Oryzias latipes: one gene and its partners. The protein of the gene in region 4 purifies or fractionates together with the protein of the main gene of each other region. This does not show direct contact. Links are inferred from orthologs where the notes say so. Each region holds a gene or a part of one and is shown on either strand. Other genes may lie near its edges. The genes, in order: ppp1cc, calcium-binding and coiled-coil domain-containing protein 1, fbxw7, aurka, arfgap1, dicer1 and ppp6r3.

The links.
Region 1: the proteins of aurka (region 4) and ppp1cc purify together in Homo sapiens (affinity purification with mass spectrometry; 3 studies listed by BioGRID, with this or other methods). This does not show direct contact. The link is inferred for Oryzias latipes from reciprocal best matches to the Homo sapiens genes AURKA and PPP1CC.
Region 2: the proteins of aurka (region 4) and calcium-binding and coiled-coil domain-containing protein 1 purify together in Homo sapiens (affinity purification with mass spectrometry; 3 studies listed by BioGRID and IntAct, counting the BioPlex papers as one, with this or other methods). This does not show direct contact. The link is inferred for Oryzias latipes from reciprocal best matches to the Homo sapiens genes AURKA and CALCOCO1.
Region 3: the proteins of aurka (region 4) and fbxw7 purify together in Homo sapiens (affinity purification with western blotting; 5 studies listed by BioGRID). This does not show direct contact. The link is inferred for Oryzias latipes from reciprocal best matches to the Homo sapiens genes AURKA and FBXW7.
Region 5: the proteins of aurka (region 4) and arfgap1 purify together in Homo sapiens (affinity purification with mass spectrometry; 3 studies listed by BioGRID and IntAct, counting the BioPlex papers as one, with this or other methods). This does not show direct contact. The link is inferred for Oryzias latipes from reciprocal best matches to the Homo sapiens genes AURKA and ARFGAP1.
Region 6: the proteins of aurka (region 4) and dicer1 purify together in Homo sapiens (affinity purification with mass spectrometry; 4 studies listed by BioGRID and IntAct, counting the BioPlex papers as one, with this or other methods). This does not show direct contact. The link is inferred for Oryzias latipes from reciprocal best matches to the Homo sapiens genes AURKA and DICER1.
Region 7: the proteins of aurka (region 4) and ppp6r3 purify together in Homo sapiens (affinity purification with mass spectrometry; 6 studies listed by BioGRID and IntAct, counting the BioPlex papers as one, with this or other methods). This does not show direct contact. The link is inferred for Oryzias latipes from reciprocal best matches to the Homo sapiens genes AURKA and PPP6R3.

What each region holds. Positions count from the first base shown.
Region 1 is NC_019867.2:25,502,662-25,506,190, reverse strand, and holds the end of ppp1cc (serine/threonine-protein phosphatase PP1-gamma catalytic subunit), read left to right. Parts: intron 1-139; coding exon 140-363; intron 364-772; coding exon 773-907; intron 908-2,256; coding exon 2,257-2,346; 3' UTR 2,347-2,893; downstream 2,894-3,529. UniProt on the Homo sapiens protein: Protein phosphatase that associates with over 200 regulatory proteins to form highly specific holoenzymes which dephosphorylate hundreds of biological targets.
Region 2 is NC_019865.2:12,641,988-12,646,584, reverse strand, and holds the start of calcium-binding and coiled-coil domain-containing protein 1, read left to right. Parts: upstream 1-1,552; 5' UTR 1,553-1,661; intron 1,662-1,739; 5' UTR 1,740-1,772; intron 1,773-2,734; 5' UTR 2,735-2,754; coding exon 2,755-2,886; intron 2,887-2,980; coding exon 2,981-3,083; intron 3,084-4,500; coding exon 4,501-4,597. UniProt on the Homo sapiens protein: Functions as a coactivator for aryl hydrocarbon and nuclear receptors (NR). Recruited to promoters through its contact with the N-terminal basic helix-loop-helix-Per-Arnt-Sim (PAS) domain of transcription factors or coactivators, such as NCOA2.
Region 3 is NC_019859.2:19,452,898-19,457,057, reverse strand, and holds part of fbxw7 (F-box/WD repeat-containing protein 7), read left to right. Parts: intron 1-174; 5' UTR 175-243; coding exon 244-423; intron 424-1,129; coding exon 1,130-1,663; intron 1,664-4,160. UniProt on the Homo sapiens protein: Substrate recognition component of a SCF (SKP1-CUL1-F-box protein) E3 ubiquitin-protein ligase complex which mediates the ubiquitination and subsequent proteasomal degradation of target proteins.
Region 4 is NC_019863.2:11,348,327-11,351,835, reverse strand, and holds the end of aurka (aurora kinase A), read left to right. Parts: intron 1-1,000; coding exon 1,001-1,139; intron 1,140-1,439; coding exon 1,440-1,588; intron 1,589-1,670; coding exon 1,671-1,845; intron 1,846-1,984; coding exon 1,985-2,167; 3' UTR 2,168-2,597; downstream 2,598-3,509. UniProt on the Homo sapiens protein: Mitotic serine/threonine kinase that contributes to the regulation of cell cycle progression.
Region 5 is NC_019863.2:27,794,100-27,798,799, forward strand, and holds the start of arfgap1 (ADP-ribosylation factor GTPase-activating protein 1), read left to right. Parts: upstream 1-1,613; 5' UTR 1,614-1,656; exon of another isoform or gene 1,657-1,735; 5' UTR 1,736-1,833; exon of another isoform or gene 1,834-1,845; intron 1,846-3,583; 5' UTR 3,584-3,594; coding exon 3,595-3,654; intron 3,655-4,700. Other genes in the region: ammonium transporter Rh type B-like, read right to left, coding at 1-999. UniProt on the Homo sapiens protein: GTPase-activating protein (GAP) for the ADP ribosylation factor 1 (ARF1). Involved in membrane trafficking and /or vesicle transport.
Region 6 is NC_019880.2:4,313,840-4,318,497, forward strand, and holds the start of dicer1 (endoribonuclease Dicer), read right to left. Parts: upstream 3,289-4,658; 5' UTR 3,186-3,288; exon of another isoform or gene 3,117-3,185; intron 1-3,116. UniProt on the Homo sapiens protein: Double-stranded RNA (dsRNA) endoribonuclease playing a central role in short dsRNA-mediated post-transcriptional gene silencing.
Region 7 is NC_019864.2:5,097,256-5,101,415, forward strand, and holds part of ppp6r3 (serine/threonine-protein phosphatase 6 regulatory subunit 3), read right to left. Parts: coding exon 4,136-4,160; intron 3,988-4,135; coding exon 3,923-3,987; intron 3,840-3,922; coding exon 3,724-3,839; intron 2,422-3,723; coding exon 2,336-2,421; intron 567-2,335; coding exon 480-566; intron 1-479.

The DNA of each region.
Region 1 (3,529 bases), on a different chromosome or scaffold from region 4:
CGCAGCATTGACGTCAGCATTTGTCATTGTGAAACGCTGCCTATGCAGTTTGTCAGCTACTTCTTGGACTCACTTGCATGTGATAGGACATGGTGTCAAATCCGCTGCTTTATGTGATTTGTTTTGTCATTAAATATAGGACTTTCACCCGACCTTCAGTCCATGGAGCAAATCAGGCGCATCATGCGCCCCACTGACGTGCCCGACCAGGGCCTGCTGTGCGATTTGCTTTGGTCTGATCCGGACAAGGATGTGTTGGGCTGGGGGGAGAATGACAGGGGGGTGTCTTTCACCTTTGGCTCGGAGGTGGTGGCCAAATTCCTGCACAAGCACGACCTGGATTTGATCTGTCGTGCCCATCAGGTAACCGTCACCTCATGGTTCTGCAAACTGAATTGCAGGAGCTTCTGCACATTGGCAGAACATTGTGATACAGGAACATCACGACTTGTGCAACTAACTTTCAGGGCTGTTGTCTGAACAAAACAGTGTTTACTTTTTGTTTTTGACTTTGAAACCTAAAGTGTATCAAAAGACATTTATTTTTGACCCCTGAAAAAACAGCATTTCTTCTGGTAACCTGAGCTTTTGAATAGAAATGACATTCTTTGACATTTAAAATCAATTTCCTTTTAAATGCAACTGTTTTAAAAAAAACTGCACTTTAGTTGAGAGAGAGTGTAATCATGGTGACAGTAAAACTAAGCGTGATGATGTCACACTTTTTGGAATTTTCTTTTAACCCCCTTTATTGTCGTTCTGCCTCTTTCAGGTGGTTGAAGATGGTTATGAGTTTTTTGCAAAGAGGCAGCTTGTGACCCTGTTTTCAGCTCCAAATTACTGCGGGGAGTTTGACAATGCTGGTGCCATGATGAGTGTCGACGAGACTCTTATGTGCTCTTTTCAGGTGGGCTACCTTTATTCATGAAGATACTACCATAAGCTGTTTGCACCAATATGATCTCAGGCTAACCCTAGATTAAGCATTCCTTTAAAGAAAATTACATTTCAAGACATTAAAACATAACTGCTTGTTTTGAGTTTGATTAAGGATTTGATACAGTTACTTAAATATTGATTTGATTTATACATTTTTAATTCCAACACCAATTGATTTGCTTTTTTAATAAATGTTTACTAAGTGAGTGATGGAAACTAAACAAAAATACACATTCCTTTTCTTCCCTATTCAAAGACCCACTTCGGTAAAGTGTGTTTTTGGTGTTTTTAGCATGGTCTTCTGTCATTTTTCTGATGACAAGGGAAACATATTAAGCTTAAAATTGCATTTCTATGTCTTTCTTTAAAATGATAAAAACACTATTTATAAAAAGGTGTATGTGTGACGTAGAAACCTTGTTGGGCGGGCCTCAAGCTCCCTGCTCTACTCTATTCTGATGCAAACAAATAGATCCATTTACGTCTTAGTTTTCCTTGTCTCAGCTGGAATCTGGATCAAAACTGTATGACTGGAACCCTTTAGTATTGCTCGCCATTTTTGTTCCACCACTAATGTAATATTGGGTTTTTAGGGGCTGTAAGATAGTGGGAGAGCATATGAACACAGAGCTCCTGGTTAAGGATGATGGGAAGGAGGTTGCAGGTTTACCCCCCCCCCCCCCCCCCCCCCAAAAAAAACAGTCAATTTTTAATAGAAAGTTGCCTTAAAGAAAGATTGACATTGCATTTCGAAATGTCAATCAAGTGGTTTATGCTGCCGTTCTTGGTGTTAGTGTTCCTGGGTTATCTTCAGGGAGAATCTATAGGTGTATTTGATTTTTGATTTCTCCAAATGTCTGTGTTGATCGAGTAAAAAAGCAGTCAGACAGCTATAAAAGTGGATAAAGCGCTGCAGCTGCTGCCTCTCAGCAGCAACAGCTGGAAGTCTTCTCTGCGGGGTTAACTTTCCAAAACAAAGACATGGAAAATACACCCTTTTTCTTAAAGCATAACTTTTATCCATGTTGTTGAGATGAAGCCGTATTAACATATTCCACTTACTAACCTGTTTGTTTCTTTTTTAACGTTTCTTACAAGCAGAAATCGTTTATTGTGTAGCAGTAAAGAGGAAATGTAACTCTTATTCTGTATTACTAGGGAATTTTAGTTTGAGTATACATTTGTTTATTTATTCTTTATTAAAAGCTTTAATATGAAAATAAGAAATGTCTAGGCCTCAAAGGACTGTTATTGGGTGTGTGGTTTTTTTTGGGATGTGATAAAACAAAGGCGTAACTCTTTACACTGGATTTGCAGATCTTGAAACCAGCTGAGAAAAAAAAGCCCAACGGCAGTCGTCCTGTGACTCCCCCTCGCAACATGGTGACCAAGCAAGCCAAGAAATGAGGCAGGCGCCAGGGAGCTGGTGGGGGCCAGAGTCCCACTCCTCTGGTCTGCTTTTGTTTTCCGCATTTGAAAGATCGGGTCTTCTTCACGCTGCCAATACTGAAGATACCCGCTCCCACTCGATGAAACAAAATGTTTTATTGTTTTGTCCCAAGGGGTAAGTTGATAAGTCACCATGGAAAACCTCAGGTGTTTTGCACTCCATTTGCAGCTAGTCTTTGCCACATAATGACTGTTCAATCAGGAAAATGTAACAATACGGCTACTTGTGCACAGGAATGCCTTTGTCTGAAGCTGTGCACAATTTTTCCACTTTTCCATGTCTCGTTTATTTGTCATCTCTTTTCCTCACTGTCAGTAATAATAAACAATGGCTATAAATCTATGAGGAAAGTCACAGACACATTTACCTTTGTAAACTCCATTGACTGTCAGTGTCAAAGAGAATTGTCAGAATTGCATCATATTTCTAAATAAGTCGCGCTAAGTTAAACGAATAAGGAAACATTCTGTAATATCAAAGTCTTTCTAATAAACTTTGAGAGTATTTGGGGGGGGGGGTTGATATCTTAATGTTATTTGTTTCTAAAACTTTTATGGCTCTTGATGAAAATAAAAAGTTGAAAACTTCACTGTGTCTAAATAAGTGCTCATGAATTATAAAGCAGGTACTAAAAAACACCCACGAAGACCAGCGCTCAGCCACCTGCAGCTCTTTATCGCTCTGTTGTGGCTCTCTGGTTAAAGAAAAATGATTGTCATATTTAAAAGTAACTATAAGGGAAGTAAGAAAGTTTTTTAAAAAGTAAGTTAACTCAAACTTTTTTTAAAACTCATTCACAAACATTTGAAGGACGGTACGTATCACACTTTAACAGATTTATTTGCACCATGTAACGGAAAATCAATTGAAGGTCAGTTGGCACAACCAGAGTTAAAGACCACCAGATTATGAGATGGATTTTTTTTTGTTATTTTTGGAACAAATGAAAGGATTTAAGTGCACCTTATGGTTCAAAAAATAAGATAAGGGTCACCTAAATAGCTCTTATTTAATTCTGATTTGTTAGTTACACATTTCTGGCTGAGATGCACCAGAAATGTTGAAATTAACTTTTTTTTTTTAATCAGTACTGACATTACTCCTTACTACTACATTTGCTGCATTGAGATGATCCTATGT
Region 2 (4,597 bases), on a different chromosome or scaffold from region 4:
TTTCTTTAACAAGTGAAAGCAGACAGAAATGTTTATGAACCAATAAAAAATTATATAAAGAAGAACAAAGTCAAAATGGTGGAATCCAATTTATCATGCAATGTTTACTCATATCTGACCTTTACACTGATTCACAGAAGTCCCACCTAGATAAGGATCCATCATGAGATTTCTGTACTTCTATATAATAAATTCAAATGAAGAAGTCATTTTTATGTGCATCTCTTGATAGCCTTGTCTCCAGTAAACATTGGGTAATGTATGAGATAGTCGTTGCCATGTACAACTTATTTCATTATGCTACTTCAAGAGAGACACTACTTCTCCTCTATCTCTACTCTGCTCACACAGACTCAGCTCACTATTAATCCACTTAAACACAATTTATAGGGTCTCACTATTGACTGTCCTTCGGCATAAAATTACATGAAGCATTTTTGTAGTGTCGTCAACGGACTAAATTAGCCAAACTAGCCCCACTAATTGAAGGAGGAGTAAAGTACTATTTGGCTAGATTGATTCATCAATAAGACAGTTATGGACAATGTGATAGCACTAATATATGATAAATATCACACAGAGTACCGCCGTTGAACCATAACGATCTTATATTTTAATTTTTGCTATATTTTTTAATGCTGTAAGGGTTCCTTATTCTGTGCAATTTCCAACAGCCTTGTGCACAATTTAAAGAGCTTTCTCAGTGCGTTAACTTATGGAATATTAATGTTGTTTACTCTTCCAACAGTAAAAATGTGTGGTTTGGTTGTCACATATGATATCCATGTTTCCATCCAATTTCTGTTTTTTAACTTGGAAAAACAGAAGAAGGGCAAGGAATCTGCAGAAAAACATATAGAAGTGCTTTGAGGATGTTTGGGTGGATACAGCTTACATGTATGTGAACCTGAAATGTTTAAGTGTCTGTTTGAAGATGGTGTGCTGCCACCTGCTGCCAGCATTACAGCATCTTCAGGCTCCAACACTGACAAAAATGTAATCATGAATTTAAAAAAGTAAAACACGTCTAAATCTTGAACTGACAAGAACAGTTCCATCCTGAAATCTCAATATTCTGCACAATGAGTTGTGTTTTTCTTTTTCTGTGGCAGAGCATCATAGACAACTTTAGAACGCGAGGAAAGCAATCCCTCCAAATACAACAGGTTAAGCGAAATCAACAACTGCGTCGATTTCTATTTAAAGTTTATTATAGGCCGGGAGGGGACAAGAACATTACAAACAAGATGGCTGTTTTTATCCCATTTTAAAGTATATATAACGTCCAATAACTCTGCTTTTGTTATCCACTTTAGCTAACAAGCTTGAAGATCGAAGAGCGGTACAGCCAAAACAAAACAAAAAAAAAAGAAAATGAAAAAAAAACGGGAAAAAAGTCAACGCGGAAAAGCAACGGCGTGTGCTTACATGCGTCATCCTACGTTCTTCTCTCCACAATCTCTTTGAGTCTTGGGAGTTGAAGTTCAATTCGGTGCAATCTGTTAGGTTTTCCATTACCGGTGAACTACAACTCCCAGAGTTCTTCGGGGTGGTGATGCTGTCGCGCTTGTGTTTTGCTTTGGCTTTTTTCCCCTCTTTTTGTTATTGTTTCGTGTTACTAGAGAAGCCGGACGCGTGAAGGAAAAAAGCACGACAGTCCTGTACGTGGTGTCATCATTTTCTTACTGAAAATAGATTGATAAGTCCTAATGAACAGCATCTGTTGTCATCTTTTACAGAATTCTGACTTGAAGAACTGCGAGACTTTGGAGGTAATGTCAGTGCGCAGATGTTTTAGTTTTTTGTAAACAAAGCTGTTGTTTGTCTAATTTAATCGGACATCTTTAAATAATCTTAAAAATGTTTGTATATAGGAATGTACTTGAACGATTGTTTCCGAAATGTTCCTCGACCTGCATGTCAGAGTTGCGTCCTCGACATGTGCTGCTGCAGGGCCTCAAGCCTCGTCATGTGTAACATGAAACCTCAAAGAACTGCTGCAAATTCTTTCCCTTTAGCTGTGATTTTTCCACCGGGTCGACAAGAGTGAACACGCATTTATACAGTGCATTTTTGTCATGTTAATACAACCCAGGGGTCATAGGAAGAACATTTTCACACACATAAGTAGAGAAAACTAACAGTCGTCGGTCAATATGCCCTCATGACACAGCACATGCGCACTTGCCGAACATCCTGTAATTATAGTGTTGCACTCTTATGGCTGTTTTGTGTACACATGTGCAACAGAGATGTGCCATTTCCGTTATCAAAGCTGGGTTGGTGTCATCCACATGAAGGTTGCATGACACTCAGTGCTAAATTAACAATGCTTTCTGTCAGCAAAAGAAGTACACTGAGATGTTCCAAAAATACGCCTGCCTGTGAAATCTGAGATCCCTCCAACCTCCCTCTCAATGCTGATGGGACACCTTGATCTGCCTGATGGAGCACAGCGGCAAATGATTTCTTCAGACCAAAATAGCCACAGTAAAGGAGTTGTAGTGGGTGGTTCTGTTCAAAGACGGGTCACTCAGGCTTAGCTTTCCACTCCTCCACTGGACTCTCAGTCAAGCTATCTTCTTACTCTGCGTAAATATTCATGTACCCCTGGCTTGCTCCTATTTTCTGCCTGCTATCACCCCTCTCCCATTCACAATTGCTCCGTTCCCTCGTGCCAGCTTTAATCTATGGGACCATAATGACTGCCATCGGTTTGATTTTTCTTGCACAGGTCTTTTTTTTCATGCTGCCATGGACAACACTTGGCAGGTGGAGTTTAGAAACGTGGGATGCAGTTACTTCCCTCAGAGCAGAGTTGACTGCCACTTCACGTTAAGCGCACAGCACAAGTGGGCCAGCAGTGATTGGGTTGGGCTCTTCAAGGTATTTTTACTCTGACATGTTTCACTGAAAGTATGCGATCCCAGACTGTTAATGCGGCTGCAAGCTAACCAAAAGTGTGTGTTTTCTATCTCAGGTGGGATGGTCCTCAGTGAAGGATTACCACACTTTTGTCTGGGCTCTGGTTCCAGTTGACTATCAAGAGGGTGCAGATGTCAACTGCTGTGTGCATTTCCAAGGTACTCAGGCTCCTTTTCTTCAAGTACTTACCAGCTGGAGGTATTTCAGTAAAAATGAAAGGGTCAAAGCCAAAATGGGGGAACTTTGGTCATTTCAAAAGACAAATAATTGCTTTGTTTGATCAGTTGTGACTTGGTTAGAATAACATTACTGAGTAAGCAGGAGGCCATGATGATGATGATGACAAAGACAGTGGGCTGGAGCCTGCTGTACTCACCGGAAAATGGTGTTGTGTGTGTCAGGGTCTGTCAAGATTTCTTGTTCTCTGGGAGGAACACGTGTGCAGCAGGTGGGGGATTGAACCATCGCACTGTGATTTATTGCAAAGTTAGCTTACATTTAGAATCAAAATTATTTATCACAAAAGGCAGAATTGAAACTCAAGAGAAATCATTAATGACTCCCGACTGCCAGTGATTTAGTAAATAAAAGGCAAAACTGCATTTTTATCTTTTGATAAACTAGGGCTGGTTTATAAAATAAAGGAACTATCTTTACTTAATAAAACAATATTAATGAATTAAATCAATGATTTCTTGTAAAACAACTTTCAGTTTTATTTTCACTTAATGAATAATCGTCTTAGTGAAGAAAATTCAGTCATTATTCAGTTGCATCACTAAATATGTGAAAAATGTTTATGACCAAATGAAATTACGTTTGAGTAGAAATGTATTACAAAAACTTGATAATTAAATTGTAAACCCAGAAACTAGTTTTAATACTGTTCTGATATTTTATATTGCTTAGTTTTAATACAGTTTTAATTGTAGTAAATACCCGTAATAGTAAAAAGTTCTGCATTTTAACCAATTGCATGTCAGGAAACTACTAAAAAAAAAACAATATATATATATATTACACATACACACACCTATATGCATAGGTGTGTACTAGACCTGCAAAATAAAATGTTATAGTTATCGCGATATCAAACTGTGCAACATGCGTATTCCATAAGAGACGAAAATTGCGATTAATGGTTACCTTAAATGTGCTAAGACATTCATATGGCAGCTTGACGTATCTAACAAATCAAATAAATCCCTTTATCCATTTGACCAACTGGATGAACCCATTTTAGATATTTGCCTCATAGGGATTAGGGTCATTTGAAGTATAATTTAAGTTATGTTGTACAGGTCCTGTTTCTTTCATTTACCTAAAACCTAAGATTTACCTGTTTGGCAGTTTGGTTACAGAATTCCCTTCAGAACTGACTTTTCTGCAGACTTGAAGCCAAATTACTGAAATTATATGCATCATAAATTAAAAATGCCAAGTTTTTCAAATCATTGCATTCCCTTTCTTACACCATAACAAATAAGAACAGGGAAACGGTAAGAATATGTATATTTATATATTGTTTTCTTTTTTATTCTATTAATTTTGAAATCCCATTTTTCCCCATTTTAGCCTCCTACCTACCTAAGCCCAGCTCCCAGGAGTATGAATTTGTCTATGTGGATGCTCAGGGGGAAGTGTGCTCCCGCAGCCCTAAGTTCACTTTTTG
Region 3 (4,160 bases), on a different chromosome or scaffold from region 4:
CATCAAGAATTGTAGGAGCATCCAGCTCTATGCTACTTTAAAATATAGTATTCATAAATCAAATTATTCAAAAATGAGGGGTTAATGAAACGTCCTCCCCTCATCTAACTAAATAAATAAAGTAAGTAAAACCTTCAACATCTGTGTCTTTTTATTTTTTTTTTATCTTTGCAGAATGTCAAGACCTTCTCATCTTCAGACAGCCTAGCGAAGGTCCAGGAGGTAGCAAGCTGGCTTTTAGAAATGAACCAGGATCTGCTGTCGGGGGGCAGCAGCAGCAGGCGGAGTCGGGGGCCCGGGGGTCCAGCAGTGCGAGGTAACACCTCCTCTACGACCCGGGCACCCCAGCAGGCGGCAGAAGAAGCCGACGAGGATGAGCACATTAACCGGGTTGTCGAGGAGGATGAGCAGTTGCAACAGAGGGTGAGGCCAGCTCATGCTTAGGAAACATTTCCCTTTTATGTAGGGGGAAGATTATAAAAAATGTGTTGATACTTGAAAGATTTATAACTATTTTGATAATGGTGGATTAAGTTTTCCCTAACATGTTAAAAAAAAAAACGTAGGGATCCTTCTTTATGAATATGAACTCAAGGAAATGCATAACTCTTTAATTGTGTTTTCTTGGGTTGGCCTGTAAAGAAACATCTCTACACGAGAGGCCTAGACTGCAGTCAACTGTGTTTTTTTTATCTTATATTTCTCAGTTTAGTAAAATAAGTAATTAAATGAGTCGCTTTGATCTCACAGAATTCGATGGATGGCCTCACATCTAGCTCCAGAACAAAGTGATTTATATAAAGTCTTGGCAGAAGCCAGAAACGTTACCCACCCAACCTTAGGAGTTTGAGTAAACACAGCCCTTCACTGTCTTCTCAATGTGGGATCGTCTCTGCGTACAACTTTGTTCCAGAAGTGTTCTTGTTTTTTTTAGGTTCAAGTTTGCAACCTTTTTCTGTTTTGATTCACAAACTTCTTTAAAAGCAGTCTTATATTCCTTTGAACTTTAAAACTTAATTCTCTTTAGGTGGTACTCAAAATATCATCTTTAGCATTGTTTTAACATCCTATAGCCTTAGAATTGAAAGGCATTTCACATAAGCATCCGCTGTTCTTTTCCTTTTCAAAGCCCGAGGTGTCCCAGGTTGATGGTGAGAGGGAGCAGCTTTGGGAGCCCAGCGAATCAGGAGCCAGCAATGGCCCTCAGGGAAACGAGGAGGTGGAGGAAGATGAAGGAGCCCCGCCAAACGAAGTGAACGGAGACGAAAAAGGAGCCAGGTGGATGTGGGGGACCGAACACAGACAGGTGAGAGGGCAGCCACCCCTCGAAGAGGAGGAGGAAGAAGAGGAGAACAACAACAACAACAGCAGCAGCCACCAAGAGGAGGATGAAACTGAGGAGAGGACAGAGGGAGGGGATGAACAAGGAAGGGACGAGAGGGGAGAAGGAGAGGAGGAAGAGGAGGAGGATGAGGAGGAGATGGACCAAGACAGCGATGAGTTTGAACATTCAGCAGAAAGCGAAAGGGAGGAGGAAGAGGAGGAGGAGGGAGGTGAAGGGGAAGAAGAGTTGCATCCCCCCTCTTTCGCGAACAGGGTTTCTGCCCCCAACAATCAGGACTCTAGATGTAAACCCCAAAGCCCTTCCAACAAGAAGGACAAGGTAAGACATCAACAAATCCATTTGTTTCCTTTATATATGGTCTCTCTTTGTAGCTGAGAAGTGTGAACTTTGTTTGGGGAAAATCACCGTTTACAATTTGCACCAAAAGGTTTTAAAGTATTTTTGTTTGAACACATTTCCATTCACATTCATTCATAATAATAAAACATATATGTGAAACACTTAGATGGAATGACTGAAACTGAAATTCCCACTGTATACTAGATTTATAGGTGATTGGCTCCATCTTGTGGCATAAGCGATACTCCTCAACAGTTCCTACTAAGAGCGTCTATTTTACTTGAAAACTTATAACTAGGGATCATAATTACTTTACCCTACACCAGTGAGGAAATCCAAAGAAAGATACTTTCAGAGCCTTGTTACAATTGGAGTTTGTGGCTTTCAGTCTATCGTTCGATGAGTGGGCATATTCGAAGAATTACAAGTGTTGGTGATTCTCCTGCAAAATAAGCATAAAGCGACGATATTTACTGAATATAACTTAGCCTGGGGAGAAAATATCAAATATAGGTAAAGTTGTGCATTTTTCCAGTTCCAATAATAACAGTGAATTTTAAAGAAGCAGATTTGTTTTTATTCCCCTAAGATATCTGAGTCAAAGATCTTTTGAAAAGCAATGGTGGGATAATTTACATTCCTTAAATCTGTGGAATTAAGCTGATTTTAAGTTACAGTTTGTCTATTTATCTGAATAGACTTAAGTCTGAATAGACTACATTATTATTAATAGAAAGACCTGTTCTGAAAGGGATGTTTATTACACTGGCTCCTTACATGGCCTTTACAATGCTTTAATCCTTGGTTTCGAATGATATTTATGCCATTTAAAACTACTTATGCCAAAGCAGTCTGTCTATGTTGCTGTGAGTGTTTGTCACATTTCTGTGCCGTTTGTTTGCTTTGGCCCCTCTGTAGTCGTGTTTCAAGATGCAGGATTTGGCCACATAACACTTGGATGAAAGCAAGTACAAGCTTTTGGTTCTGGGAATTTTAGAAGATCCATCCCCCAGCCAACTTGACAAGCTTTACAAATATTCTCTAAAAATATTGTTATTGCAAAAAGGAACTCTGTGTCCTGTCACATGTTAATAATGTATAAAACCATCTATTTATCAGTGTTATTTTATTACAATTTGAAAAATCTTTCTAATCAATGTGTTTGAGTACAGATGTTCGATAACTTATGTTTTTAAGAGGTGTTTCAATGCTTTACTTGCAGTGTGGATGTTGCAGCCCCTTAAGCCCCACAAGGAGCCAATTGTCTGAAATCATTCACATTCCCCATCATGTTTGTTTCCGATTCATGTTTTTTTTTGTCCCTGAATCCTGACATATTTAAAGTCATTGCTTTCAATATTCTCTTGGTACGCTCACAAGAATTCAGATTTCATGTCTCATACATTTCAAGCCCAGCCACTGTAGAGGAGAAGTCAGGCCAACTTTTTAAAAATGCTTAAAAAACATATTTATCTTTATTCCAGATGTTGCATTTGCTTTTACCTTAATCAAGGAGCTGAATATCATTTTTGGGAAAGCAGGAACACACATATATGTATAAATAAATAAATAAATATATATACACATATACATGTATATATTTCTCTTATTGGGTGTTTGTATTCTATAGAACTGTCATTGTAATGTTATTCTAGACTGCAGTGTTTTTTAGGGATTACTCAATCTGAATCGATCCAAACTTAATACATCAGTAATCAATCCATAAAAGTAGAGATTGATCTTCTTTTGCCTTTCCTTTTCTGGTGACCGAACACGTAATAGCAGTAAAGCCAAAGTCTGCTAGCTTGATGCAACGTATAATGGAAGTTCCCTTCCCTTAGGACAGTTAACGCTCTGCCGACATAAATATACATTGCTGACTTAATGAACAACTTTATATACTCACAGGCATGAATATTCCAAACTCCTTTAAAGCAAAACTTTTTTAAAGGTAAATCTGTGGTGTAAAGCTCTCTTTTGTTTTCTTTGCTCAAATCTTTTGGAAGAAAGTGTAATGCTATAACGAGAGCTCCACCTAGTGGGCAAACTGAAACGCCCTCCAGTACACGCAGATCATTTACTGGGTAATATGAGGCAGTTTAGAGCTTTTACAGTGTTAATGACCTGCACATTTTTGTTGGAGTTTCTCCTTTTTCAGAAACCATGTAACGCTGTTTGGTGTTAACAATCTCATTAGTTTATTATTTCACTTATACATTTTACAGGATGTGAACTGTATTAAATGAACATGAACATCTTCTAAACATATATAAAGTATTAATGTATTTCTATATAAATATGTCTGAATGTGTGAATCAAATCGAATTGAATCGATTGGATTGAAAGGGAAAAAAGCGTATCGATCTAGGCTCTGGTGAATTGAATCTGATTGGTTCTAGAAATTATTGGTAATACCCAGTGTTTTGACTTCATTTAAATGAATTTTACTTGAGATGAAGATGTTTGTTGACTAATA
Region 4 (3,509 bases):
AGTCCTAAAGCGAGGAGCTAAGGACGCGTCTACGACTGACATTAGGGATTTTAGTGAAGGTTGTTTAAACAATAATGTGTTCTTGTGATGTTTTTGAGATTATTGAGGGTGAGTTGTGAGAAATTGATTTTCGGGGTCGTTTTCGTGTACTTCATTGACGGTCCCTGCCGGACTTTGCTTCCATGTGAAGCTGAAGGCTGCAATTTTAACAGCAAGGCAGGAGAACTTGGATGTATCCATGTGTGTTCTTGGTTTGAGTTGGCGGCACCGACTGCAATAGTTACCGAAATGTGTTTATTTTTAGTTTTGGAAATTCTGTGAAAAGTTATGGATAAAGCATTGCTAAAAAAAAAAAGTGTACAATCCCTGAAAATCAGAGCCATCCAGCTGTAAGCAGGATCCAGCTCAGAGGAGGAAAAGGAAGACGGTAATGTATCCATTTGTCTGCAAGCGGATGCATCAGAATGGAGTGAACAAGTAGACTGGTAAAAACCCATTTCAGTTGCTGCGTCACAACTGAGTTTTTTTGCTGCACCTGAAAAAAGAAATGCTCAGGAATTCAGTTTTCTTTCCAACTTCCTGAATATATGTTCTCCAACATGAGAAGAATCCTACAAGAACATGTTAAAAAGCATGATTTTTTTTATTGGAGTGGGTCTTTAAATCAACAGTGCAGAGCAGTAAATGTCACAATGAGATTATGTTGTTGTGAATAAGCATGTTTAAGACGTAGATCATTTGTTTTAATGCAGATCTATAAACTCAAACGTGGAACTTTTATAAAAACGATTTATTTCTACACTTTGGTCAAAAGTTTTATTTCCAGAAAAAATACAAAAAAATTACCTGATTCCCTTTTTTCTGTCTTATAAACTTCAAGCTCCCCCCTTAGTTTCTCTGAGGTATTTAGAAGATTTCATTTTACTTTATCTCTGCCGGAATATTTGCTTAATCTTGTTCTGTATCTTTTTTAATTTTTATTCTCTTCTGTGTTCTGCAGGCACCCTAACATTCTGCGTCTGTACGGCTACTTCCACGATGCGTCTCGCGTTTACCTCATTCTTGAGTTCGCACCCAAAGGAGAGCTGTACGGCGAGCTGCAGCGCTGTGGGAGTTTCCCCGAGGACAGAAGCGCCACAGTGAGTGTGACCACTGAGGAGCTTTCTTCAACCCAGATTTAGAAAACACTTGGAACATTGTTTAATACGTTTATGACATTGTTTAAACGGAAGCGGTAATTGCTGTTGCATTTTTTTCACCATTGCGTATACAATATAGACCAAAGGTATGGACACACCTTCCCATTCTACTGAATGGGAAGGTGTGTCCAAACTTTTGGTCTGTACTGTAAATGCATATATTTGTCTTGCTTTTGTCACTTTTATGCATTGAAATTTGCAGCCAACTCGATTCAGACTTTGTTTTATTTGCCTTTGAAGTACATCATGGAACTGGCTGATGCCCTCCACTACTGCCACACAAAGAAGGTGATCCACAGGGACATCAAGCCTGAAAACTTGTTATTGGGAGCCAACGGGGAGCTCAAGATAGCTGATTTTGGCTGGTCTGTTCACACGCCTTCATCAAGGTACCAGCATTCTGCATTTGAATGCAGTATTTATGCATGCCTGTACTTTATAGTCAAATCTGTTTTTTTATTTCCTCATCAGGAGGTCGACTCTGTGTGGAACCCTCGACTACTTACCTCCAGAGATGATTGAGGGGAAAACTCACGATGAAAAGGTGGACTTGTGGAGCCTGGGGGTCCTTTGCTATGAATTCCTGGTTGGAAAACCCCCCTTTGAAGCGAAAACCAACGATGAAACATACCGGCGTATTTCAAGGGTACGACTACCAGCTACAGTCACAAGTTCAGAGGCTTCAGTGTGGTATTTTAAATGCCAGATCTTGTTACAGGCAAAGCTACTCCAGCAGTAATTCAGCTTCTCTGTTTCTTACCAATAAACCTTCATTCCTCTTCTAGGTGGAGTACACTTACCCTGCACATGCTGCTATCAGTGATGGAGCTAAAGACTTGGTTGCCAAGCTGCTGAAGCACAATCCCATGCACAGGCTGCCCATCCAGGGGGTCCTGTGTCACCCATGGCTGCTCCAACACTCCACCCGAAAGCCCACCCCCCTTACTGATGAAGAGCAGAGTCAGTGATGCTCCTGAAACGGGATTCTGAATGATCCCGAAACAGCAGATTGTCAGTGTTTTTCTTTTCAGGTGCTTGTTTTTCTCAACCACCACCTCTTCACAACAACCACTTGTTTTTTTGTTCTGCAAACATGTGAAACCTCTGGTTATTTTAACTTTTTATTCCGTTTCCTTTCTTTCAAGTGGCATTCATTTGCCTGTAAATATTTTTCTGTTACTGCTAAATAATGAAAGTTTTATGAAACCTTTTTGTGTTGAAAATGGAAAAATAAATGTTTATGCGCCATCTTTAAATGACACATCAGTGGAAGGCGATTCTGTTTGTGTTGCTCATAGTTCAGTCTGCTGTCTGAGTGATGAGCCGGGTCAACCTGAACTGACGAGGATTCCACTAAACCAGGAAACAAGTCTTAGTCAAATAAAATGTTTTCTAATCTATTAAAATGGTGCACTGCAAATGCATTGTCTGTCTAAAAAACTATTCAAGAGCTGGATTTAATCTTTCATGTTTAATTCATAGCAGTGACTTTACTTTTTGAATCAACTACTTTTTGCACAACTTCGTTAGTTTTTTTTTTAACACAAAGCAGAAATTGTTTTCAGGGAGGGCAATGGTAGCGTGATATTGTGCATACTGAGGGGAATATTTGAGTTTAAAGAAATGTAGCAAAAATTGAAATGTTTGTCAAAAACAGTCTACATTCACAAGGAGGTTAAGTTTGTCCTTTACTGGTGGACTTTTTTTTATTTTGTCTACAAGTAATGAGGTTTTGTGCTGCAAAAACTTCAACCCACCTGTCAGTCATGGTCACGGCAGACTATTGTGTCTCCTGAATGCAGGTGTTGATTAATGTGTTGGTCACTTCAGTGACACCTGACAATTTTTCACATAATTGTCACATTTTTTTGTTGTGATGTTCTGATCCAGATATTCTTCCCTATTCAGACACCAACAGAACTTGCAGGGGGAATGAAAAGTGAAGGAATCTGCTGGTGTGTCTGATTGGCTTCAGTTTCATTCAGTTATCTGGTTGGGGTTTCAACTCTACCTCAGTTTTGTAGCATTGGAGCTCTAAGACACCTGACCAACCAGAACTACTTCTGTAGGACCTTTAACAAAGTGTAAATTGTTAAATCCACAATACCCATTGAAATGCTTGCATGTTGCTCATTTAATCCAGGCCATTACTTTTAATCTTGGGTAAGGACACAGAACAGGCGAGGACTGAGGTGTTTTTGCTCAGTGTTTTTGCAGCCAGGCCTCCTGGAAGATGTGACTTATCACCGATGGAATGTAAACACTCGGTGTGCATAAGATCATGGGACATGTTTGAGGAAACAGAAGACC
Region 5 (4,700 bases), about 16 Mb from region 4:
CTGGTCTTGGATTCTCATTCGCTTGGCCAAAAAGGGGGTCATGTACTTGTAACCAAGGAAGCAGGCGGTGCAGCCCATGACGCCGAGGACGTATGCAGCTACAGGAGAAATCATCATGTCCACAGAAGCACCAACGGTCACACCACCTGCTAGGGTCACGTTCTGAATGTCAGCCATCGTAAGCTTCCCCCTTTTGTTGAACAAAGCAGAGAGGGCAAAGGCAGTGATGGTGGAAGAGCTCAGACCTATGAATGTGTGGAGAATTGCTCTGTGCTGATCATCCCCTTTAAAGGTAAGAGCAGAGTTAAAGGAAGGCCAGAAGATCCAGAGGAACAGAGTTCCTATCACAGACAGGATGTCAGAGTGATAACTTGTGATCTCTTTAGCGTGTCCGTTGTTCAGATTGGGGCGGTACAGCACAAATGAAACCCCCAAACCAAAGTAACAGGCAAACAGGTGAATGAGAATAGTGCCTCCAGCATCATTGATCCTAATGTACTTAAGTACGGCCCACTCTGTCACAGCAAAAATAAGGATCTCCAGCAAAGCCATGATCAAGAGCTGAACCGGGCTGGTTTTTCCCAGCACGGCCCCAAAGGAGATGAGCACCACGGCACAGGCGAACTCTGCGTTCAGCAGATTGATCACTCCCAAGTGAATCTTCCCATCATAGTAAAACTGGAAGAAGCCTTGCATCAAGATTGCCCACTGGATTGCAAAAGTTGCTGTGAGGAAGTTGAAGACCATTCCACTGAAGCCGTAGAAGCGGAAGAAAGCCAGCAGGCAACCGAAGCCAATGAAAATCATCACCTGCACGTCAGCAAAGTAGGGGTAATCCCGGTATAGCGCGTTATCCATGGGGTTGGTCTGATTGTTTTGCAGCTTAGCATTAGAATCGTCATCATAGGTGACAAACACAGCATAAAGTGCTATTATTACTATTTCCAGCACTAACACAAGTGCGGGCAAGCGCACCTTCAGGCTTGTGGAGGACGTCATGTCGGTTCACCAGTCAATAGAGACGCTTGTTTCTTCTCTTTTATAGCGCATGAATGCATTTTTTTTTTTTTTTGCAAGATAAGCTCAGCTAAAAGCATTGGGGGAGAAAAAACTCTGACATGTAAGTGCTTCAGACACGGATGTACTTTAGTCCCTCAGAAACTTCCATATAACCTTATCTCCTCAACTGTTACTTTCATCATTGTACCACATGGTAAATAGTTGAAAAACTATTTAATTTAAATTAATTTAATTGAAAGGAACATTCAGACTAAAAAAACTACTGAATTCTTTATGGTGACTTAAAGTGTGTTGACTCCTGCAGTTACAAATAATTTACTTAAACTGTAATTTTAAATGTTAATATATATAATCTATATATAATCTTAGTATTTCAGCGTGAGTAGCCTTGGCAGGCATTAACATAGAAGATTTTTAGACATACATGCTTAACAATTAACTGTAAATGTGTAAAGAGTAATGAAATCTGGTAAAATCGCAAAGAAAACTTGCTTCAAAAAACTGCACTGGTACCTGCTAGGATACTTCCATCCAGTAGGTGGCGGTAGAGATTTCAAAGCCAATAGGCATCGTAATAATCGTAATAACACGAGGAAGAAACAGGAGCGTTTTACCAGGATGCATTGCACTGCCAACGTATGCAAACAGGAACATGGCTACCGGTTTTTTTTTTAGCATCTGACATTTAAAACTTTCTTTTCATTCTGTCTTGTAGACTTTGTGACAGTACGACGGGATTGAAGATAAAACCTTTCAAAGCGCCGTCACGGAGTCTGAATACTGAAAACAACGTCCTTGTTCCTATAATTTAAGGTAACCCAACAGGTAGCTAACGTTAGCGAAATCGAAAATCTTTTTAGTTCGTGTTTTCATTTTGTTTTATTTGTTCAGAAACTCAAAACACAACCAAAGGATGTTCACGTACTAGACATTTGTGCTGTCTAACATTTGTAAACACAGGAACAGATGTTGTGAGGAATGCAGTTCTATTGATGCCCGGCATTTTAAATTTTCCATACAATTTTTTGTCTATTTTACACATGTCGCCTTTTCTTTTGATCTTCTTTAACTTAAGTGTTTTTGTCAAATGTAAAATAAAATAGAAATATCAGAGTTTATTTGGAAAAACAAAAATATCTGTGGTGTCACAGAGAATTAGCAAACCTGACACAAAATAAATAAAGTAAAAGGAATAAATATTTTTGAAAACATTGAACATTCGTGGGGGTTGTAATCTGTATGTTATGAAACAACCCCCCCCCCCTTTTTTTTGCTTAAGATGTCATTAAAATGGATGATTTAAATTTAAATTAGAAAAAGAGTTGCACTTAAATGCTGTTTACTTTAAGCTTCTTTTCTTAAGGCGTTATATGTTGTACATATGGTTTTGAATGATAAAAAATAACAATAATAAACAGTAAAACGTATTGAAAACAGGATGTCAGACATAAACCAATATATTAATAGACTAATATGTCTAGCCTTCTAGGCAATGATCAAGAAAAAATATTTACAAAGGCAACATTGATTCATAACAATGTAAATGTGGTATACAAAATGAATGGCGAAGTGTGTAATGCAAATGTATATAAAACAGATTAATGAAATTGTGTAAATAATAAACAATTGTCCATTTTCAGTCAAGTTACAGGAACTTCCTGTTAAAGTGACTTCTTAGTTCTTTAGTTGTAGTGTAGTTTGTTTTTTAGTAAATTCTTTAGGTTTTCATTTTTTGTTTAGTCTTTTAAGAAATTGAACTTAATGAGGGTAAATTAGGGAACTGAATTAATTTAATATTTTGCATTTAATAATGGACACAAATTTCCAATATTAAGAATAACTATGGGTTTATCCTTAATACTTACAGATTACTTGTAGGTTTATGCCAATACATTCCTACAAGTGAAACCATTATTTCTCGAACATTTATATTTTTATTTATTTGATGATGGTGCGTCATTTGTTTGTTTTAACTTTGAATAAACATCACATTGTGCATTGCTGGATAATTAGGTTTAAGATGAATTGGTAAAAACTGTGTTTTCAATGAAAAATTTTAAATTTCTCTTTTTTTTTCATATTTGAAAAGAATCTATTTAGTGATTTAGCTTCCTTTTTGGGGGACCTTTGGTAATTTTGACCTTCAGAGTAGCATTGACTGCATCCTTCTGTCAGTAAATGTGGCTTCATCCACCTGTCTGTCATTCTACCTGTTTTCTTTGGGCTCTTTCCAGTTCTGCAGACTTTATTTCGTAGTTCTTAGCTTTTTGGTCCACCTTTTTCGTTTAGTTCATTTTTCAAAAAATAAGAAATTACTAATTTTAAATGAAGGGGAGTAGAAGAAATATATTTCATTATGTGAAAACAGTTTAATTTGCTCTTCTTTCTATTTACATACATCTGTTAAATGAATGAATTGTCTGTGAAGGTTCTCATTCGTCCTGGTGATGTTCTTTTGAATGTGATTCATGGTGTCTGGACTTAAAATCTCCCTTGACACTTTTCACCTATCATCTAAGTAGCTTCATCAGTCTGTATTAAATGAAATGTTTGACTCTTTTAGATCTGGTCATCATGGCAAGTCCGAGAACCAGAAGAGTTCTGAAAGATGTGAGAACCCAAGATGAGAATAATGTAAGTCCAGTGCTCACTTTTTCCCTTAGTAGAAACCAGCTAATGTTGTCCGTCACATGGCTTAGACCAGGGGTCAGGAACCTGTGGCTCTTTTGATGGTCACATCTGGCTTGCAGACAAATCTTTAATTATAAAATCATTTTTTCATTGGACCAGTCCTTCTCGGGCGCGATGCGATGCCAGAGGGGCGCACAGTAGTAGCGGTGCTTGGAGAGAGAAAAAAAATCTGCGCCAGAGATATTTCAGAGTTTGTACCAGCCGGAAACCTGTTAATTGCCGTACCTGCAACTGTGCACTCCCGTCTCTGAGAAAAAGCGCGCAGTTGCAGGGACGGGATGTGTGAGGCAGGGGGGGGGGGTAGTGGGCACATTGTCATAACTTAAAGCACGCAGCCCGTCACTCACTGCAGCGTGAGTGTGTGTTTGGCTCCACGTCTGCATGTGAGCAGTCTTTCTCACATCTAAAGAACATTCAGACCAACCTACGATCACATTTAATGTATTGAAGTCTCAACGCCTGCATGAAGCTGAAACTCACCACCTATCAACCAGCCTAGACCATCAGCAAAACCACACGGAACCAGAAATTGTATTAATACTAAGAAATACTCATCATTTATTAGCAACAGCATAACAATGTTATTAGAAAGAATCCATAAACTTATCGTACTTTAAAAGTGTTACATATTACATAATGACATCAAATGCACACATTCACTTGTATTTCTAGTTTTAAACATAGTGTGGCGGACTGAGTTTAACTGGGTGGCTGTTGGGTTGCGTTATAAGTTCCGGAGTTCATTGAACGCATCATGCAGAGATCTGATTGGCCCTCAGTTCTGTCGCTCAGCCTGTCGTTGGGGAGTTTGGACCAATGGGGTTCAGCTATGGGCCGAATATTTTTTATTTATTTTTATTTAAGCTTTATTTAATAGGGACAGTGCACATTAATGAACATCTATCAAACAATGATAGGCGTAAACATGCTGGATTATAGCAATGATGCTAATTTGCATCCATAGTCCCTAGGCAGGAAACATAAAACAT
Region 6 (4,658 bases), on a different chromosome or scaffold from region 4:
AAGAAGGCCAAGTGGGTGTCTGCACAGTTGTTGTCTGCTATCTTCAGGTACAGGATACATGGAATACAAGTACAAATACTTTCAACTGACAGATATTTACAGGGGCAAAAATGCAAAATTCCCAATTGACAGGTAAAACAGTAATACAATAGGATGATAAAATATGAAATAGAATAGAATAGAAGGGTATTTAATAATCCCTGAGGAAATTTTTTTAAAATGGCCATCTTAAAAAAACACATAAACACACATGCATTACAAATAGAAATATCACAAAATAAAAAGATTGATAAAAAAGGTAAATAATTGGAAAATCAGTGGGTAAAATTAAAAGAAATTACTTGTAAGATGCCCTGCCAGAGAGTTGTATTGCCTGATGGCACGAGGAACAAAAGATTGTCACGCTGTCACATTCAGTAATTCCTAGAGAATAAATAAAAACACAACAAACATGGATTAGATCATTTAGCTGTCTGATCTTAAATTACATAATTTTCAAATATATGAAAGGGGAATTTTTTTAAAACACTCTTGCTATGATAACTTGAGCTTGTAGTAAAGAACACCTTTAAAAAAAATCAGAGACAAGACACTGATCACAGGAAGCCTGTGTGTAATACTTACAGTAACTTCTACTCTAATCACTGTTGACAGCTGATTTCTCCCATCCCCCCATTCTGTGACTACTTATCGACTACAAAACAGCCTAAAAACATAATGTTTGGGATTCTTGTCATTACGTCATTGGAAGTAAAGATACAGGGAATTTAGTGGCTGTCACTCTGACACAATCTCACAGGGCTGGTCATCACAATGAATACGGGTTCTAACGTTAGAAACTTAATGAGGCTTCTTTCATTCAACAGTGGATTCATGTCTGTTATATTTAAAAAATGCCGTTTTCATGAATGTCATATGAATTAACTTTGTTGCACAGTCCACCCCGTCTTAAAGTCTGGGTTGTGAAAATGCTGTGTCTAACTTTAACCCGGATCGCGTTTACATAAAGGCAGCACACGGAACAACTAGCTAGTTAACATAGCATAGCATCAGTGTTTAAACAAATCGCCGTCTCCAAATCAATACTTTTTATTAAACTTTCTTTGCTGCTGTAAATCCGGCATGTTTTCCCCTTAGTTCTATCTGAATCATGTTAAGAACCTACAGATCATTGGCTATAGACGCTAGCTTGAACCGACACCGGCTTGAACTTCACTCACACTCACAGGCAGACACAACTTGCACAGGCTAAGCAAAACAAAGCTAAGCTAATTTGCGGTGGGGGTACTCTGCAAACGACTCGGCTGCAGTGTTCATAAAGCATTCACACATGTCACTTGGCAAAGGAAAACGCTTCAACTTAGTATTCAATAACATTACAGGACGTACAACGAGGGAATGATCAAATAAATGCATTACTTACGGGCTGAGACTGATCCCGTTCAGAAGACCTCTCCGCCATGTTTGCCGCCCGCGTCCTCCCAACTGCTGTGCAGAACAGCTCCCTCCCTCGTCACTTTGAAAGTGAGGAGTGTAAGGGGCCATTAGATTGGCTAAAAGCGAACCCGCCTGCTTTGCCAATGAGTTTGATTGACAGATTCACTAGCCAATGGTGAGATTAGTCGACCCGCTCCGTCAGATGAGTCTCAATATTCACCGTAGAAAAATCTCTCACACACACGGGGAGATTCACAAACGAGAACGGGATTTTGAATGCACATTCTGCAGTTCGAATGATCTGTGAGTTCACATCACATGTGTACCTAAAAATCATGTTTGTGAAGCACTTACTGTGCATTTCTGATACATTTATTTTGAATTTCTAAAATGTTTTTGTGAAAAACAGTGTGCACATTTGTGAGAAACACTTATTGTGCATTTGTAAAACATTTAGTGTGCATTTGTGAAACACAATCTGTGTGTTTGTGAAACACAGGGTGTGTATATCCGAATTTATTTTTCACGTTTGCATAAAATGACATTTGTGAATCGGAGCGTGTGCATTTGTAAAACAGATTGTGTGCATTTCTGATTATTGAGACTGAATTAACTCCATACAATACAATCAAACTGTTTTTCATTCAAACTAAAAGCAAAAGTTTAGACAATAAATTAATGTGTTTCAAAGATCAATTTTGAGTCGCTGAAATGAATAAAGATCATTTCAAGAAACAGAAATTTAGCAGGTGTCTATTAACTTTTAATAATTCATAAATCAGCTTTATTTATATCAATTCCCAGCATTCAATGCTTTAACTAAATAACAATACGGGTCCAGGAGGTGCATGTGTGGTAGAATATCAGATTTGTTAAAAAGACAAAAATCTATGTAGTTGTTTAAAATATCTACAAAGATTCAACAAATCAGAAAATAAACCCAAAACTGTGAACTTGCTATCACCTCTACAGTTGGTAAACAGAAACCACAATGAATTTGGCCAGTCGGCTGGACCTGGACAGCAGATCTAATGATTACTAAAACCTGTGTCAGTTTATCTGGATCTCTAATCAAAACCGATCAGAATATCAAACTTGATCTGGGAAGTCTTTTTAATAACGGATCACTCCTGTCCAGGATCACCACAGCCAGATGTTAAAACGCCTGAGTGACGTGACAGCAGCTTGAGCTTGTGACAAACATTTGAACGACACACGCTGTATTAAATCTCAATTTACGCCTTTTTATATTGTATAAATACGGAAAGTTTTTTTCTGCAAAGGGAAGACAAAAGCAGGCTCGAGGACGCGCAAACAAGACCTAAAAGTAAGAGCCTCCGCGTGTCTTTGGACATCATCCAATCCATAGTCTGTCCGGCGACACAGAGACCGACGCCGCGGCGAAAGCTAACGCAGCTAAATGTTTAGCGGCGCGCGGGACTAAACCCGGTTAAAATTCCCATTATCTTATTAAAAAATGCGTCTTATTAGGGAAGAGCGGCGCACAAACTGATAAGAAATGCATCCAGCATGTAGCAAAAAGCGTCTCTACTCTCACTGCAGCCGCCATGCCGTATCATCATGTCGAGCTAGCTAACGGCTAGCAGCACCAGGGCCATTACATCCATCCACAGTAACATTCCTGTACGAAGAACCGCGCGCTCCGCTCGTGAACTCACCCACGCGGTTATTTTTCCACCGAACGATTCGTCTGAACAGAAAAGAACTCGTCTGCTGGAAACACTCACTGGCATCTAGGCGAACTGTCCAGATATGCGGCTACTCGTCCACGGGGGACCACTTCCTTTTCCCTGGGCCTCCGCTACGCCTCAAGTTTACGTCATTTGCGTAGCCGCGGCTCTGGTGTACGTAATTAAACGTCTTCCTGTTGTGGCATGTTTTGTCCACTCGGGGGCAGCATCAAACAAACTTGGGGATCCGCTTGTTTTGAGGCTTCTTTCACCAACGTAGAGTTCAACAGAAAAACACAATTTATTTATGTTTTTTGTTTAAAGGCTTAAAAGAAAATTCAGTGCTTAAGAAAAAAACCCCGTCAGTTTCCAAAAAATCCCTATCTACAAAAAAATAAAAAAATGTAACACCTGACACTTAATAGAAAATAGTGAATATATCACATCAATGTCAAAAATAGAAAACGGTTCAAAAAAATAATTTAAAAGCTTTAATGATTTTTACTAAAGAAAATTCTAAAAATTTATTATAAAAATAATTTTAAGCTAAATTGATTCATACGGCACCGTAAATGACCGCAATCAAACAAATTACTGTACATCAAAAGCTCAAAAGAACAAAAATAACAACTAAGTAAGAGGTTAAAATAATTAAATATGTATTTTTTTAAGTAAGATAAGGATGTAACAACACCATAAAAGCTAAGCAAAACTGTAAAGCAGTAAACACACCAGCAGAGCAGAGTCATGCTGTGTCAAAGGCCTGGTGATAAAAAGGGGTTTTAAGAAGTTTTTTCTTTAAATGGAAAGTGAAGATGCCTGTCAAACGCTCAGTGGTGAAACGTTCAACAGCTTAGGTGCACAGCCTGAAAACACTTTTCTCAGGAGAAGCTGATCAGCAGACCTGAGGCCTTGGGTTGGGGTGTAAGGACACAGAAGCTCAGAGAGGGACAGCGGTGCACAATTGTTTAAAGATTTAAAAACAAATAAAAGACTCTTAAAATGAACTCTACAGTTCACTGGCAGCCAGTGATGGGTATCCAGGATGAGGGTGATGTGGTCCCTCATACGAGGAGCAGCGTTCTGGACCAGTTGGAGATGTGAGAGGAATGACTGCTGACTCTAAAATAGAGAGAGTAACAGTAATCCAGCCAAGATATAATGAAAGCATAGATTACTGTCTCAAAATGACGTTTTGGTAAAAATGGTTCAACCTTCAACAACTGCCTAAAATAAAGTAAGATGGATTTTACCACTGAGTTAATTTAACAGTCAAGTTTAAAATCACTGTCCATTTCAAAAGCCAGGTTTGACACAGATTGTTTTAAATGTGGAGCCAAGGGACACAACTCCACTGAGGAGGATTCACAGAACCTTCCTTTGACCAAACACCATCACTTCTGTTTTTTGTCATTAACCTTAAAAAGCTTTGGGCCATCCAGTCTTTGATGTCTGGTAAACAAGACAGTATTGGTGTAATGGAGCAACCTTCCATTATTGGTAAATACATTTTTAAAGCTTTAAATTTGG
Region 7 (4,160 bases), on a different chromosome or scaffold from region 4:
CCCAACTTTCTTGGAAAAAACAGGAGGCATTATGGGACATACATGCACCAACTTGGTTTTGATCAGAAGAAATGGTAGTTGAGTGAATGTATTCAAACCTTGGTAGAGATCATTTACAGTTAGAGACATTCTTAATGTGTTATGTTCATATGTTTAGCTAATAAAGACAAACTGTTGGGTCCTGGGTTGGAAATGTGCACTTCACATTATTAATCATTACATCCTGCAAATAAGCTCAAAATGATTGTGATGTGTGGGAAAACGTTTTACTGTTCGATAATAAAAACAACTTATGGAAACTAAGCTTAGAGTACTTTTATATTGTGTTATAACTACAGAAGTGGCCTCTTTAGCCACAAGGGCCACGCAGCTTTAAATTCAAATGTAAAAAGAGCTAATTGGATTTCCCAATATTTGAATAACATGTGCATCGTTTCTAAATGAAGCCAATGCAAGAAAAGTGTGTGCATTGAACTTACCTGTTGAAGGGAGGAGTCCTGATGAAACCCACTGTCTTTAAAGTCCACCTCGTCATCACTGGAAGAGTGGATGTGATGAGTGTTGACCTGAGTGAGGCGTACACCAAAAGAACGTTCAGTTACAGGAGCAGACAGCTACACCCCCCCAGTTAAAGGCCCCAGGGGTGCGGAGGCCAATTCCTTTAATTTAGCTATTGATTGAAACCTGGTGTCACATCAAAAAAGAAAATCAGACAAGAAACTGGCATGCCAGCTTCTACCACTGAGTTTTTACATGTGAATGTGAAAGAGTTATCACAGTTCATTCATCCTTATGTGAGCAAAGAGCATCTGACAGAAACTGTGTGTTGATTGTCCCATCATAACAATCAGCAGTGAAATGTCTATGGTTAGTTCCAGGTTTGAGTTTTTCTAAATGCAATAGTAAAGAAGTGTAACCAACATGAAAACCAGACCGTGAGTAAAAATGCTGAGAGAAGGAGGAAAATCCACCAGAGTAATTAAACACACATGGTCAAAGCCAGGCTATCCATTTAGAAAGTCCTGAAGATCACATAAGAAAACTAGCTAGAGATAAGAAGAAAACAACATTGTAAGAGACAACAGCAACGGTCTCCAAAGATGGAGTGAAGGTACAATAATCAGCTCAGGTAGAGAGGCTACACCAGAGGAGAAAAATCCCTCATTAGGCTGACTGTTGCTAAAAATGACAGAGATTAGCTTCAAGAGTTGTGAGACACAGATAAGTTTTTAAAAGATAAAAGACAAAAGTAAGACGGAAGAAGAATCTGCTCATGAGCCCAAAGACACAAGCTCACCTGAGAAACACAGTGATGGTAGTGCTGTGGTTTGAAACTCTTTGGAATGGGCCCATTGATGGCAGCAGCAAAATTAACTAGATATTTCTCTGCCACAAAGCCCAAAGCCCAATGCCAAACTAATTACAAAGTTTGTAAAAAGCAAGAAGTGCAAAGTTTTAGATGAGCAAGTCAATGTCCACATTGAAACCCAACAAAGGAAGACTTCTTCCTGCTGAAAAGGAGACTAAAGGGGGACAACCCCCAAAGAGGCTGAACTGAAGGAGTATTACAAACAAAAACAACCTTTGGGATGTCAATGACTCACAGACTTGATGCAATTACTGACAGCAGGGAATTTTCAAATAAATATTTACCTATTTTCTATTACATGTTAATTCTTGATGTTCAAATACTGTTGCTCACATGGAAAAATGATTTCAAAGTTGTTTGCCAGATCTAGATGTAACCACCAGAAAAAAAAACCTTGGTCTTGTATTCATCTTTCAGAGAAAAACCCAAACATTTTCTGTCCATGATGAAAACAAAGCCCTTGGCTTCACTGTCCTTATGTTGCCTAAAACATTCAGGATTGTAAATGAGTAAATCATTGCCAGTTTTTCCTCCCTACTCTTTGGGGGGGGGCCGCCTGTCATTTCATACTTTCTCACATCTTTATTTTTTTAAAGAGCCATACATTACACCATGCACAAAGGTGAGAAACAAACATGCACAAAGGTGAACTATTTTCACCTTTCATAATAAAACAATATGAAACAGTTGCAATCGCAGCACCAGAAATAGTCACTAACTTGGCAGCCATCACTGTTTTATATAATAGTCTGTAGGAGGTCTATAAAGCTGCTTGATACAGCAAAGCTCTGTGAGTTTCACTGAGGCATTTTACTTCTGACGTACAACATTATGTAAACGACTTATGAAGCGCTAAGCGCAAAAGGGGTGAGTCACAAACGTTTATGCAAAGAGAAGAGGAAAAAAGACAAAACAACCCGAAAAACAGCTTACCAGCAATCCTGTGATTACAACACGATCACTCACCAAGTCAACTGCGTTTCTCTTGTTTGTGTCAGCCAGCTGCCCAGAAACAAAGGCCTCCCATCTTTCCCGGTCCTCTGAAGGCAGCTCTGTCCAACACAATCAGGTCGGTCAGGTCAGACTCAAACACAGGGAAGCAGAACCCAGAAGCAGAGCACTCTCAGAGGAACTATTTCCCTGTTTTCACACATATTCACAAACAAAATACTAAACACAGGGGAACCCACAGGGCTCAACTTATTTTTTTACTGCTGGGTTTTCATATCAAATGATTTTTCATCACTACGTGCTGTACTTTTAATTCTAATGTATGCAGATGATACTTTGGTTTATGTGAACAGAAAAGTCTTTTACAAGTAAAGGCCCGTACACACCGGGACGAATATTCGCCAGGCGTTATTCGCCAGCGTTTTTCGCCACGTCTTTTGTGTTCACACCCAGGTGATTTTCGCTGACGATGAGTGGAGTGAACATGCAATTTCCTTCCCTGACATTAGATGGCGCTTAATGTAAAACAGAAATACTCCTGTACACAAGGTGGCGCTGCGCAGCTTTACGCTTCTTAAAGTCGCTTTTCACTCAGAAGAAGAGAGCAAGTATTTACGCGCTTGTCAGAATCATACAAAGAAAACATGAATATTTCAAACACCAGTAGCTCCAACTGGTGCTTGGTTCGGGGATATTTTAGAATGTCCGTCATTATTGCTTCGCGGCTGTGTAGACGCTACTTGGCGTCTATCTTCTTCGCTGGTATGTGTGCTCAGAATGGCAGTTTTGTGTTTGAGCGCCCCCAAGTTGTGTTTTACTGTAACTTCAGAAGCTCCAGACTAGTGAGCAAAAGCGCCGTTCTCATTGGTCGAGTAGATTTCGACGCGACGCGTCGAAAAAAAAAACGAACCCGAGGCGGTTTTTTTTTTTTGACGCTTTAACGCCTGGCGTTTTTTCGCGTCGGTGTGCACACTCTCGTTGGTGCCCTTTGTTTAGTCACGAGGCGTTAAACGTCGGCGAAAATCGCCGGCGAAATTCGTCCCGGTGTGAACAGGCCTTAACTGAAAGGCTGAATCCTTTATTTAATCTCATGTCACAGCTGTTGAATCTCTAAATCTCATGTTGATGCAGCTTTTGTTTATACAGCATCAGCTTTTGCTGCATTTATCAGTATTACATTTGCCATTTCGCATTTACTCCAAGAAATGATTGTTGAGAAACTACAGATTAAAACTACCACTATAGTTGATTTTGGACTATTATTAGAACTGAAAACATTAAAAAAAACAACCACATCAATAAAAAAGCAATATTAAAACATTTGAATGATAATCTGATCGTGTCAGTAATTCTGACCTGGAACGCTGAATAAACTTCATTTGGAGGACATAAAAGAGCCTCACCAGAGAGGAGCTGCTGTATCTGCAGCCCGTTTGGCCCTTTATCACTGTTATGAACTATAGAGTTGGCTATCCTGGTCAGGTGACCCATGTAGCCTCGTCGCCGCCCACCTTCTGCCCTGTGATACACAAAGTAACAGCATGATGGGCTATAGAAGCAGCAACACCTGCAGTAACTGGACTGTTGAGCAGAACTCCTTACTGTTCTTTTTCGTTGGAGCTCCAGGCGTCCACGATTCTCTGGATAAACTGACTTTTCTCAAAGAGCTGAAGGAGAAACAAAAGTAATTCAGTAATCTGGATACAAAAGCTTTTTCTTTACAGAGCAACAAGTGTATTAATTTGAGTTCTGCTACCCTCATAAGCTATCATTAAAGACATAATTGGATTTTTTCTGTTTCCTCAGCAGCCTTACATGTCTGATCAGCATGCTGTCCTTT